Xenopus tropicalis: one gene and its partners. The protein of the gene in region 1 purifies or fractionates together with the protein of each later gene. This does not show direct contact. Links are inferred from orthologs where the notes say so. Each region holds a gene or a part of one and is shown on either strand. Other genes may lie near its edges.

The links.
Region 2: the proteins of sdc2 (region 1) and ampd2 purify together in Homo sapiens (co-immunoprecipitation; 3 studies listed by BioGRID and IntAct, counting the BioPlex papers as one, with this or other methods). This does not show direct contact. The link is inferred for Xenopus tropicalis from reciprocal best matches to the Homo sapiens genes SDC2 and AMPD2.
Region 3: the proteins of sdc2 (region 1) and pdpk1 purify together in Homo sapiens (affinity purification with mass spectrometry; 4 studies listed by BioGRID and IntAct, counting the BioPlex papers as one, with this or other methods). This does not show direct contact. The link is inferred for Xenopus tropicalis from reciprocal best matches to the Homo sapiens genes SDC2 and PDPK1.

Annotation. Positions count from the first base shown.
Region 1 is NC_030682.2:129,877,523-129,881,626, reverse strand, and holds part of sdc2 (syndecan-2 precursor), read left to right. Parts: intron 1-1,434; coding exon 1,435-1,574; intron 1,575-2,780; coding exon 2,781-2,892; intron 2,893-4,104. UniProt on the Homo sapiens protein: Cell surface proteoglycan which regulates dendritic arbor morphogenesis.
Region 2 is NC_030678.2:71,725,554-71,730,711, forward strand, and holds part of ampd2 (AMP deaminase 2), read left to right. Parts: intron 1-2,865; coding exon 2,866-2,992; intron 2,993-4,178; coding exon 4,179-4,342; intron 4,343-5,158. UniProt on the Homo sapiens protein: AMP deaminase plays a critical role in energy metabolism. Catalyzes the deamination of AMP to IMP and plays an important role in the purine nucleotide cycle.
Region 3 is NC_030685.2:28,864,384-28,869,541, reverse strand, and holds part of pdpk1 (3-phosphoinositide-dependent protein kinase 1), read left to right. Parts: coding exon 1-110; intron 111-1,113; coding exon 1,114-1,156; intron 1,157-2,632; coding exon 2,633-2,770; intron 2,771-3,474; coding exon 3,475-3,619; intron 3,620-5,158. UniProt on the Homo sapiens protein: Serine/threonine kinase which acts as a master kinase, phosphorylating and activating a subgroup of the AGC family of protein kinases.

The DNA.
Region 1 (4,104 bases):
TCTGCTGATTGGCTGCTGGGAGGGGGGGGGATATCACTCCAACTTGCAGCGCAGCAGTAAAGTGTGACTGAAGTTTATCAGAGCACAGGTCACATGGCTGTGGCACCCTGGGAACTGAAGACTATGCCTAGCCCCATGTGAAATTTCAAAATCAAATATAAAAAAATTTGTTTGCATTTTTAAAAAACAGATTACAATGCAGGATTCTGCTGGAGAAGCTCTATTAACTGATGGGTTTAAAAAAAAAACCAAACAAAAAAAAACATGTTTTCCCATGGCAGTGTTCCTTTAAGACTCAAGGGGTCCTGCAAGAATTAATAACTATCCCCAGTATGTTAACGCACCTCCCAACATGTTTTATACTATACCCCAAAGCCATAAACCTGCCCAAGTTATAGTATCTTGTCTTTTACTTTCATATAGCATGTTCCAGAGTAAGCTGCAGTTCTACCTGCTAGGGTTATACAGCCTACAGAGGAACTGCAGCTTCACTTTATATTAATTCCTTCCCAGAAGGCAGACACTGAGAACCGGTGGTTCCCCCACCAAAATCAATTTAGCTTTGACTGACAACCAGGGTGTGGAGGCCTGTAGTTTAGAACTGTCCATCATAATGCAGTACAATTACCATTAAAATCCTTTTACAATGGATTTCACTGTGCAAAACGTTTGTGACTATTATCTAAGCCTTAAGGTATCTAAAAAAATATCTGAGGAAGATGCACGCTTTCTTACAGAACCTGCATTATAGTTGACAGCTGTTTGTACTTCATGAAATTTAAGATCTATAAAATTCAGTGTTTTTTTTTTTATCTTTTAGTAAATCTTTTCTTAAGTTTAAAAACTAGAGAAGGGTTTTTACTCATTGCTTCTTGGCTTGAATTTCCCAATTTATAAAGGGCCAGTAATCCCTACAGAAGCACAATACCATTCAGCTGTACCCATTTAGCATACAGTTGTTTCTTAAAAGGATTTATCACCCCTGTCGCACCCAATATATCGATTTTATTATATGTTCACATTGCTGGATATTTAAACCCAAGTCTTTTACATGCATTACTTGACGCCATTATTAAAAGTAAAATTCAGAACAGATTGGAGATTTACAGTGGAAAAGAATGTCTACATTCAGTGTAAGGAACAATGAAAAAAAAATTGTGGTTTTTAGACACTTTATAAAGTAAGGAAACTTGCCCATAACTGTAATGCTAGGTTTTATGCTGTTTGTGCTGTACTGTCTTCCAGCCATTGGGATGTGAGGGCCCCAGGTTTAACATGACTCTTGGAGAGAGAGATAGACAGGAAGAATTAAAGATTATAAAAGAGCAAAATCAGTTTATTATTAACCTCTCATTCCTTCCTAATGAACTTCCTGCGTATGAGTGAGTGGATCATGTACAAACAGCTTTCTTATAGGTCCCCTTTATTCCACAGGCATTCCAGCACGCGATGATGATGAAGACAATGTGGTGTTAACAACTGTCGAGACGCTAATAAGCAGCCCATCAAGTGAAATGCCATATGTTGACACCACAACATTGAAAACACAAACAAAAATTGCGCCTGAAAGCAAGGTAGGAGTGATGCCATTGCATATGTATAAAGTTACGGACCAAATATAGACTTTTATTGCCTTACAGCTCAAGCTGGCTCAGGTCCCACACACCAATGTACTTTATTGTTGTGCCCAGTATAGACGAAGCACATTATGTAGAACTTGCTAGTGGGCATCTACCGCTGCTTTGTGTTCTTGACTTTTGCTGCTGTAGATCAAGGTATTTATTTAGTTGGTTTGGAGGTTCAAACAGGTACCATTCCAGTAGAATAGGATTGCACTTTAATTGCTGTAACTCTGCACATGTAAACTTTCCTTTATCCGTATAGAACCGGTACTTAGGGGCATGTATACTAAGATTGGAGATAAATATCTTCAGTGATGTTGCCCATAGCAACCAATCAGCAATAAGATTTGAACAGTTACCTACAAGTTAGAAATCAAAGCAAAGACCTAATTGGTTGCTACAGGCAACATCCCTGGTGATATTTATCTCCATTCTTAGTAAACACACCCCATAGTCTCACAGACTAGGGGAGCCCTTTTGTGCTATAGTGACCTCCATCTGCTCCCCTTTCCCTCTATGTGCAGGCAGAGCTTACCACCAGCTTTGGGGCTCTGATTGATAGGATTCATTTTGGCTGCTAATAATTCAGGGTAGCGGCCATATTCTGATTGTCTGTCGCCATTTTGGTGTTGCCATTTTCATTACCTGTAACATATGCTTCACAGTTTAGCAAATTTAATCCAGCAATGTTTTATTTAGTTGGTTTCCACTGTATAGTGGGACATTTGGTGGTTTTTGGGTGCATTATTTGACTTTTTAGATCTATCACCCTCCCCCAAGCTTGTACAACTATTCATAGGGTTAATTGGCTAATGCTGTACAGTTGGTTGGTCACCTTCTTCCTATTCAGCCATTTATCTGTCACCCTTTCTCATGTTTAATGTTACTGTTCAGCCCTCCACCTGCATACAATGAAGTTCTCTAGTTCCCAAAGAATAAATTAGACTTTTTATTTTTGCCTCATTTGATTTATTCCTATCATTCTGTTCAGGCTCACTTTGTAATACATCATTCTGACATTCAAGCAACGATAGGGTAACCAAACTGCAGTAAAAATTACACGAGCAAGTTTAAAAAAAAAAAGTATTTTTGCACTTGTCTGTATAATACTGAATGTAGGAGAACTTCCATTGTATAAATATTTCCCCTCCTGTCCAGGAGCCTGGCGAAGTAGAGTCAACCAACACAGTTCTTGTCTATGGAAACAAGGATATCGTCCAGACTGCAACACACACAGAGAACCTGTTCCACAGAACAGAAGTACTTGCAGGTAAGGGCACAACAATGACTAAATGACTATATTGGGCAGATTCTATTCTGTCCTTTACATTGCTTTGCCTACTACACATTTTCTGTGGCAGCCAATTTAGGGAATTTACACACTTAATATTTCCATTAATTAGAATATTAAAATTGTGATAAACTAATGATTTGGTTCTGCTAGAACATTACCAGCAGAACATGCATGGAACGTCATCCTGGTGCTCCTTACCTTAGTGGGAAAGCACCCACTCAGGAGCCTGCCATTTGTTTTGATGAAAAGCAACATGAAATTGCACATTTTGCAGCTCAAATCCCTATCATTGATGCCGACAGGCCATTTTCATTAAAACTAAAGACCGCCTCCTCAGGCAGGTTTGGGTGCTTATCTGCTGGCTGAGAATTCTGGGGGAGAATATGACCAGTGTCCCATAAGCCTAAGGGCTGAACATCTGATTTTAAGTATATAAAGGCCTGTGGCCTCTCCTTGGCACTGCAACATATTGCCCTCACCCCATGTCTATTCACTCTTCATGGAGAAAAGCGGATGGGGCTTTGGGAGAATGCACGGCAAAGCTGCTTTAGGTGGTCGGGCTTTGGCACAACAAATAGCATTTGGTCTCTCTGAATTGATGTTATTTGATTTCCCCTGCTTAGTGTGGTGGCTGAGAAGGAAAAATGGGAAATGCCTTGTTTAATGTAGTTTATTATTAACATTTATTTATAAAGCGCCAACATATCCCGCAGCGCTGTACAATAAGTGGGTTACATACATTGGACATACAGAGTAACATATAAAGCAATCAATAACAGATACAAGAGGTGAAGAGAGCCCTGCCCAAAAAAAAATCTACAATAAAAACTAATTTTTAAATAAACTGACGTGTCCTAAAATGTTGTAAATGTGCTTAAAGGGGTTGTTCACCTTTACATTAACTTTTAGTATAATGTAGACACTAATATTTTGAGGCAATTTGCAGTTGTTTGTTGTGGTTCTTCAGTTATTTAACTTTTTGTTTATCAGCTCTCCAGTTTGGAATTTCAGCAGCTATCTGGTTGCTAGGGTATTGTGTAGCTTAGCAACCAGGCAGTGGTTTAAATGGGAAACTGGAATATACATAGGAGAGGGACTGAATAGAAAGGTAAGGAATACAAAGTAGAAATTCAGGTATAGGACCCGTTATCCAGAATGCTCGGGACCAAGGGTATTCTGGATAAGGGG
Region 2 (5,158 bases), on another chromosome or scaffold:
AGCAGTAAATATTTAGTTGCACAAAATACATTACTAGGTATATTTTGGCGGTTTCTTTGTCGCGACTTCGTAATCTCGCGACTTGCGGACATTTTGTAGCGATTTTGTAATCTTGTGACATGTGCGACTTGGGGCCATTTTGTGTCAGTGAGCCTGATCATTCTGATCTGCTACCAGGGGAGAGGCGCTATATTGTCAGCTTTTTCCTACGCTCAGGATATGAAGACCCGCCGCTGGGGCCCTTAGGGGTCCACGAGCTGAAGAGGGCCATCCTGCGCGACCTCCAAGCCGGGTTGCGCAGGGGCTTTGGAATTGATGTGGACCTCCGCCTGCTCCAGCGCATATGGTCTGACCTGAAGCGCAGGAATTCAGATCTGATCGCTGAAATTGCGGAAGGTAATTATTGTACTTTATTATGCTTTTACAGAATACGTTCAGGAAAAGATTTAGCAAGTAATTTGAACTAAAAGAACAAATGTAATAAATGTCAGGGATGACGAAAGTAACATAGTAACATAATAATGCCAGTGAGGAACTGAAACGTTGGTCACAATAAACCTCTGAATATTATTTCACATCTTCGTGACTCCTTGTGAAAATCCTGTGTGTGCCGTCACCCCATGCCTGTCTAGATTTTGTTTTGCCACAGGCACCCAGGTGTTATTGTTCCTCATGGTGTTCAGCTTCCCAGCACTTCGTATTGTATATATATATATATATATATATATATATACACATCTATTTTCAAATACATATGCATAAATAAGTTTAAAGCAGGGGGGAAGCAGCAGGGAGGGGCCCATAGTATGAGTCATTTGGGGAAGGGCCATGAATGTTTTAGGGGGCCCTGGCTAACAATGTCTGTGTGTCCTTTGTATTGTTGTGAGGGGGCCCCGTTATTTATGATGGTGTATGAATGTATATATATATGTATAATATATTACACAAAATAACATCTTGCAATACTATCTCACAGAACTTCAGCTGGCGCCTCATCCCCAGGCACAACCCCAGGCACACCAGGCTCCTGTGGCCCCCGAGGCCCACCAGGCTCCAGCGGCCCCCGAGGCCCCACCAGCAGCGGCCCCAGAGGCCCCAGCACAAGTGGCCCCAGAGGCCCCAGCACAAGCGGCCCCTGAGGCCGAAGAGGCCCACGAGGCCCCGGACACTCCCCCCCTTCATTCCTCCCCCAGTTTCCCCCCAGGCCCCGGACTCCCCCCAGGCCAAGCGCTGGGCACCAGGTTCTCCTGCAAACGAGGGACCATCACGGCGGTCAATGCAGGAGGACCTGGTTAACATCAAGGCCGAGCTGGCCCAGCTCCGGGGGGAAATGGCAGAAATGCGCAGGGACATTACAGAACTCAAGGGCAGCAAGCCCTAAGTTTTCTTTCCCAGTTTTTTCCCTTTAATTGTTAAAATAAAAGTTTTTATTTTTCTACTTTTGAACTGGGTAATGTCTAATTATTTTTCCTTCCTTGATATGGTATTCTATACTTTCATGTAGTTTCTCCTACACTCTTACATTTATCAGTAACAGCATCAATATGCTATATGGGTTAAATTTTTGCAAATATTCTGCCTACAATTCTGTCTTTAGCCCATTTTGCTGAATAGTAAAGCTTGCGTTAATTAGTACGTAGCGTATTTTCTGGCGAGTGTGGCTAAATATTCTTAAATGCCCCCCCCCATTTTATTATCTCTAGCACTTCTTTTTTTTTCTTACTTAGCTTTTTATTGGTTTTTTGGTTTTTTATTTGCAAATAAACATTTATACAGCACCTCTCTAGCACTCTGTGCTCTCCCAGGGCAAAATGTCCCCAGTTTTATGCTGCCGATTGTCGCGTGAGTAATGTCACGACAATTAGCGCTTGCGATAAATAGCATGCATGCGAAAAATACCGCGCACGTTATCTATCGCGACAAAAATATTGCATGAAGTATCGCGCGTAAAATAGCACAAGTGTGCTAATAGTGAATCGTGCGAAAAGTCGCGAAAATTAAGACGCAATAAAATTTTTAACGCACGCTATATATAGCGCACGTTTTATCGCACTTTAGTGAATCGGCCCCATAATATCTTCAAATTCTGCACCATCTTCAAATTTTGCGCTTTCCCACAGAGTTTGTTCTACTTACATGTGTTGCTAAACTATAACTTTGAACTAGTGATGGGCGAAATTATTTGGCAGGCATGGATTTATGGCATATTTTTGCATTTTGGCATTGGTGAATTTTTTTACGAAACAGACAGCAAAATTTGCATCGGAAACATTTGCCATATGAGAAAAAAAAAAAATTTGTTGCTGGACATTTTCACTGTTTCAAAAATTTTTTGCTGTTTTGCGAATCTTTTTAAAGATTTGCAAATTTTTAGGCTAAGTGAAAAATTTTATAGTAAAAAGAAATACATTTCCTGCATATGCTGATCATCTTATCATCATAGCAGTAAGGTGCTACTCCCAAAAGACAGAATTAAACTATCTATATGAATCAAATGCTTTTATAGAGTCATTTAAACTCTGCATTAGTGAAAATACATATAACATTTTCCATAACTAACATTCTTTTTCTGTTGGTGCTGTCATTAACTTGTTTTATGATGCTTCCTGAATTCATCTTTTCTTGTGTGTCACAAGACAGGTTTCCCTATAATTTAATGTCCTTATGTTCACTGCATGTAGTTAGAAAATTTATCAGAATATAAATTATTAGGGTTTTTCTCATTTGGGTGTTAAAAGAACTCAACATATAACAAAATGCTTACCTTAAATTGCTATGATGGGTTTGGATGTATCAGTATAAAACCTGCCTGGTTTTCTCTCAGTTTGATTTCTATTGTCTATCCTCATATGTTTTGCTTTGCAGTGATGTATACCGCAGTAAGAAGCAGATTTCTCACTTTCAGGAGATGCTGGAGAATATTTTCCTGCCACTTTTTGAAGTCACTGTGAACCCAGCAAGTCATCCAGAGCTTCACCTCTTCCTGGAACATGTGAGTACCCTCCAACTGGCCCAAGAAGCCATCTTCTGTCAAGGCAGTATAATGACTGCAGCAGCCACCTTATGTTTTTGTACATATATTTGAATGCTGTTTAACTACATAATCATATTGATTCTTTCTTATGTCAGTAGGTCATTTTTGGCATTATATTTATCTAGAAACAAGACATGCCTCTAGACCCCCCTGGACTAGATCATCCCATGGGTTTAGTTGACATCTTTGCGATAGTTGGCTAGAAATGTGTATGCATTTTTGGGGCTCCTTAATGCTACATGTGGCACCCTAAAGGAATTTATGTCATACTAAACTGATCAAGGGTATGGAATGTTTCCATTATGAAGAAAGGCTGGATATGTTTTGTTTATACAGATGTATAAAGAGACTATACAATAAACAGTGTCTTGTTTTATTTACCAGTATGTCCCTCACACAGACTTGAGGGAATCCAATGAGATTTGAAAAAAAGGAGGCTCTGTCATAATATTTGAATAAGGGTTTTTTTACAGGGAGTGCTCTAAAATTGTGGGTTAGATCCAGGGACTGGTTTGGTTTCCATATTGGGGTCAGGAGGAAATATTTTTGCCCTCAGAGGCAAAATAGAAAACATTCAGATGGGTTTTTGCTTTCTTCTGGATCAACTTACAGCTAAGCAGGTTTCATTAGACTAAAAGGTTGAATTTGGGTATAGTCAACTTCGAAAGAGCTGCTTGCAAATGTTGTAGTAAAGGCGATAATGGCATTTGTACCATTAACAATTTTAGTATTCTTAGAAGGCCACTGGGAAGAAAAACAATGGTCTAACATTAGGAAAGCTGACCCTGTGACTAATGGAAGATATAGTAGTTTAGGGGGACATTGGGCACAATTTCTATATGTTTGTGACACAAGTCATCTTGCTAATATCTGGTAAGCCCAGAAATGTTATTGTTTTGGGTCTCTGTAAATTCTACTTACACTACTAAGGGAAAGTATAGATTAATAGCCTCTTCTTATGTCAAAATAATAAATTAGCATGATATTCAGAATCATACTTTGCATACATGGGCCTATTGAAAATGCGTCTATGTAGCTTGAATTCCATGCACGTGCATAAGACAGGATGCAGCATATTATTTAATATACATATATATTCTATATACATAGTAGAATGAGCAGAAACTTTGCTTGTCTCAATTAGGTGGATGGATTTGACAGCGTTGATGATGAATCCAAGTCAGAACATCACATGTTTAATATGGATAGTCCACTGCCTGAGAACTGGACAGGAGAGGACAACCCTCCATATTCCTATTACTTGTATTACATGTATGCCAATATGACTGTTCTCAATCACATGCGCAGGTAAGCACATTGAATCCATTTTGAGATACTTAATAAGGCTGTGCAAGCTAAAATAACATTTCTGGCTCTATTATTTAGATTTTTTGAATATCTTGTGGTGCCCTGGGCTGCTCTGTGCATACTCAATAGACTGAAGGTTGCCGTACACAAGCAGATTGTGTCCACATGCTGTAAATGATCGTATAATTTACCAGTCCTTCAAACTAATGATTTTTCTATCAACGCAAAAATTATCTTAGGCAATAATAGTAGTGATACCATGAGGTGTCTTCAGCATCACACAGTAATAAAAAAAGGTCAAACTTGATATAATATGTTGACCAATTCATCCCTTCAAATGTGCCAGCTATGCAGCTACATGTACTGTATGTATGTATGTATAACTTTATTTATAAAGCGCCACAAGGGTACGCAGCGCTGTACAGTCTTACATACTTGGATCCTTGTATGACAGGGGTGGGCAAACTTTTTGGCTCCTGGTGAACATTAACTTTTAAAATTTGACAGACGGGCCATCCCCTCCAGCAGGCAGCAGCAGCCAATCCCTCATTTGCTCAATTTGCCCCCAATCTGTATATATATGCCAGCAGGCAGTAGCAGCCAAAAAATCAATCATATTTTGCTCTCAAATCATATGTACCTTTGCCAGCAGCAGCCAGGAATTTCCCCCAAATCTGTCCATCCTGTGCCAGAAGCCAGGTTCCTTTCTCCTGCTCAGTGCTCAGGTTTTCTCCACTTCAACTCTGCAAACAGCGCAACGCGCCAGCACTTCTGTCTCTGCAGTTTGAATGATGCACAGGCATATGCACACACCAC
Region 3 (5,158 bases), on another chromosome or scaffold:
CATTGCCACACCCAGGGCAGCAAGAACAACAGCACCCTCAACAGCCTCGAAAGAAGAGACCCCAGGATTTCAAGTTTGGAAAAATCCTGGGGGAAGGTTCTTTTTCAACAGTAAGTGTATAATACTTCTGTACTATTCTGTATCTGCAACAGTCATACATATTCTGTATTCAAAAGGTATCACTATGCTCACCGTCAAGTTTCAGTCCTTTTTCTTTTTCTGTGAAGCAAGGGATCCACATTTCCCTTACTTCTGCAAAGGTTCGCTCTTTCCGATGGAATGACCATTCTCAGCCGAGACAGAAGGCCAACTAATAGAGGATTTCATGACTCTTGATTTCCTCCATGTCATTTGTTTGAACTATGTATAGGGAAACCTAGTATCCAGAAATCTCTAAATTACAGGAATGCCATTTCCCATAGACTCCATTATAAGCAAATCAATTGAATTTATTCTCTCTCATAATAAAACAGAGGCAACTTTGCCTAATTTGTACACCAAAATATACTCCCGTTTTTGTTATGAGCTCATTCAGTTATATTTCCATGTATATTCATAATTAAGGGTGACTAATCATGACTATGATTAGAATTAAATATATTCCCTTATGTAACTACAGTTTGGTTAATTGCCCCATGGTCCCATCAGCCAAAATGCTTGTTAGGAGAACCCCACACAGAAAGGGATGCTTCTGTTGATTAAGTGCAAGTGATTGTGCCCTTGTGGCTAACTGTACAGTTAAACCTAGGTTTGCTGTATGTTTGCCAATTCTGTGATAATAAATGGCAGTTAAAGTAATATTCATATAATAACATTCAATTTCAAACTGCAGTTCCAGATCTTGCCTTTTGAATACAATTTTGAACTGCAGTTCTAGATCTTTACTTTCAAAAAACGTTTCGAACTGCAGTTCCAGATCTTTTTTTTTTTAAATCCAATTGGGTTTGTTTGATGTAAGTTAAATTTCAAGTTGGGTTATATATGTTATGTCATATAGTGAGCCATATTACATTAGTTGTAGTCTTTTCCTTAAATTTCTGCATCAGTGTTTTTAGATGTTCAGATGTTTCATTTGTTTTTGTAGTGTTAATTTTACTTTTCTAATGATTTTAGGTTGTCTTAGCCAAAGAGTTAACAACAGGAAGAGAATATGCCGGTAAGTATTTTTCACCCTACTGCCGCCAATCAGTAATGCTACCCAGCAGTGCAGTTGCTAATTGGCACTCCAAGAATATAATGGTTCTTACTACTTCCTCTATATATCTGTGTTTTTGTTTTTTTTATGGGCAAAAATGACACTTTTTGCCATAATTTTGTATATTTGAAAAAAATTATTTATATTGCATGCCTACTGGGAACACAAGAGTAAATATATAGCGCAGGACACCAGTAAAAACTTGTATTGCCAGTGCACTAGTGCTCACAAGGTGCAGAAATATAAAGTGCAAATAGTGCTTTCATACTTGCCTTGAACATTAATCTTTTGCATCGTGCAGTGAGATTACCTACACCTCACAATGGAGTAAATAGCAACCAGTAATTACAATTGCAGGAGGTCATGCAGTGCGTATCAGCTCATCAAGGCTCTTATATTTAAAGATTCCACATACAAAAGGAGGGGAACAAATAGGTAATAAGGTAAAATTCTTTATTGTACCATGAATGGCAGGAACTTGGGGGTTTCCTACTCAGTGCAGATTAATGTCAAAGTACAGCTGTGCATCACATTTCCTATAATCCATTCTCTGGATCAGAGCACAATTTGCACTTTATAGTTTGCATGCTGTGGGCACTAGTGAACTGCTGATTCAAGCTTTTAATATTCCCCCCCATGTAGGTGTATGCTCTGGCTTTTTTTTTTGCCTGTCTTGGAAAGAAGAGAAGGTGAAGCAGAAGCTGGCTGAAATATGAGGCTAATACTGGTTCTTGGCTGTCAATAAACACAGGATGAGAATCAGCCCCTAAGCTAGCATAATTCTTACCCTCTGCCTACACTCAGAGCCATTGAGTCAGCCCAGGTGCAAACACATAGGACAAATTTTGGTGCCAAATTGCATGCTTGTGTGTTTCAGTGCTGGAATGTAAATCGCTGGTGGGATGGCATATGCCACGACGCGATTTCCTGAAATCGCAGATGTTTCCTCTCAAGGCAACTTCCGCGATTTCGTTAAATCGTGTCGCCGCATATGCCATCCCACCGGCGATTTACATTCAAGCCGGTGGGATGGCATATCTGGGAGATTAGTCGCCCGCAACAAGTGAGATTTGTCGCGGGTGACTAATTTCCCCGTGTGCCTGAGCCCTTAATGTGACATAAATTTATCACTTAATAGACTCAAAGATATAGAGCCACTGAGTACAGATCACAGGAGTGATTCAATTTTTGTAGGTAACAATAACAAATTATGTTAGTACTGTGGGAACAGCCCTCCTGTGACTTCTGCTGTAAAACTTTGCAGCCGGCCTAGATGCATTGACATACCCAAAGAGAAACCGCAGTTCATGTGTAATCTATTCATTTAATTTCGGGACACTTTATTTACGAAATAGCCTTCGCGTTACATGTTTGTTCTGCATTGAGTTTATTTGATATCTTTAGAAACCCTATTAAACCATTGTCTTTATGTTTCAGTTAAAATTTTACAGAAGCGGCATATAATGAAGGAGAACAAGGTACAATATGTGAACAGGGAAAAAGATGTTATGTCCCGTTTGGACCACCCATTCTTCGTCAAACTTTATTTCACATTTCAAGATCCTGAAAAGCTCTGTATCCTTTGTTCAAACAATCTAGCACTGATGTGGAACCAATGTACATATATTGCCAGGTTTTCAGACAGTAGGCATTCAGTGTTCACTTTGTGGCCATTGAATGGGGCCATTTAAAAAGCTACAATAAGCATGGGTTTTGTAAAAGGGGTGATTCACTTTCAGGTTAAGAATAGCGTGTTCTTAACAACTTTTTGACTTATTGTTTTTGTCTTCCTCTTCTGACTCTTTCTAGTTTTCAAATATTGTTCACTGGCCACAGTAGCCACATAACTAATGCTCTGTGAGGCTACAATTTTATTATTGTTAATGTTTATTATCTACTTTTCTATTTAGGTCCTACTCTATTCATATTCCTGTCTCTATTCTTAACCACTGCCTGGTTGCTAGGTTAAATTGAACCCTAGCAGCCAGATTGCTGCCGAAATTCCAAACTGGAGGGCTGCTTAACAAAAAACTTAATTCAAAAACCGCTTAAAAAATTAAAACCAGAGCATCACTCTCCACATCATACTAAAAGTTAATTTAAATGTGAACAACCCCTTTTAATACCTTATCATTTACATGTTGTTAAAATTAAAAGACCTTGCAAGAACTACCGTGACGATGACAATTTAAATAGAAACTTAGATAAGCAGAAAGTTGAGTGGATCAGGGGTGAAATAGTCATTGCATATATCTGTTCTTCCTTAACCAAGTGAACAGATTTTGGTCTTAGTTATGCTAAGAACGGAGAACTACTAAAGTACATACGAAAGATTGGCTCATTTGATGAAACCTGCACAAGATTTTATACTGCTGAAATTGTGTGTGCTTTAGAATATCTGCACGAGAATGGAATTATTCACAGGTAAATGGCTAACGTGGAATTAAGAGCCAAAATTATTTCCCGGGTTTAGGTGAATGTGTTACTAGAACATATTGCAACAACTGTGCCTCTAAGCTCAGCTTCTCAACAGCTGAGCTTCTAAAAGAACCCAAGATGGTGAGCTGCTGTGATAGCTTTGAAGGCCTGGATCATTACTTTACTTACCTTTAAACTGGTGGATTAAACTTGGTATATATTAGAGTATTCAAAAGGTTATATGTGGGGTTTAATCATCCGGTAGGGATATACTGGGGTTGGCATCTAGCCAGGGTTTCCATATTTTCTCAAATTTTCCGGGTGTACCCCAAGCTTTGTATGTCAATTTGGTCGGTGGCAACATACCATTTATTAGCTCAACCCATTGTTGAAGTGTGGCAGATGTGGCACTATTCATAGCAGAGACAATTCCCCTTGTTTTTTCTCATGACCCTTAAGCAAAGAAAATGAGGGCACCTATAAAATCTGAAGTTATTCTAACATAATGACAGTATTTTATAATTCCATAAACTGAATAAGTGGTGATAGGGATTACAATTGAAGAACACAAGGGTAAAATACAGGTCAGCTGCAAAGACATTAAAAATGATGTAAAATTAAATGAGTAGTTAATCTGCTTTATCTTTTTGTTGTCCTCTTAAAATTAATTAACAGGCCACGGTATTTTGCTTCTGATTTGCATTTAAAGGAGAACTATATCCCCGGCCGCAAAAAGCCTCCTTAACTATCATTGACTAGACCCCCCTCACCTCTCCCTTATCGCATAGTTTTTACATTTACACAGTTTATCCCTTTCGCTAAGCGCTAGCTAAAAATGCAGAGAAGCGAAGCTGCTTACCTCGCCGACATCATCTTATCGACTGAAGACTCTTCAAGTCTCTCCGCTGATACGAACCTGCTTGTGCATGCACAGTTGGAGGTAGCAGGAAATCCACTTCAACTGCGCAAGCAGGTTAGGTGTGCGCTTCGAGACCCGAAGGTCTTCAGTTGCTAAGAAGATGTCAGCCAGGTACGCGGCTGCGCTTCTCTGCATTTTTGGTTAGCGATAGGGATAGAGTGTAAACATAAAAACTATGCGATAAGAGAGAGGTGAGGGGGGTTTAGGAAATGATAAGTTAAGGGGGTTTTTGCACCCGGGGGGTATAGTTCTCCTTTAATAACCTATGATTATTTTTTGATGATGCCGGTCCATATCCCCTGGGCTGACCATTAAACTCCCGCCTTTCTGCTAGAGCAGGCATCCCCAACCTTTTTTTTACTCGTGGGCCACACACAAATGTAAAAAGAGTTGATGAGCCGCACAAACATGAAAGAAATTGTTTGGGGATCACTATGCTAGAGAAACACAAGTATACATTTAACTTTAAAGGACCAGTAACTCCATGAATGAAAATCATGAATGTGTCTTTGCATACTGTTATCTTTTAAATAAAATTCCTAGGTTTTTTTTCCTGTTTGCTATTAGGCCTTATGGGTTCATTAATCTTTGATCTGATGTACTTAATCACTGCTGTGTTCAGTGAA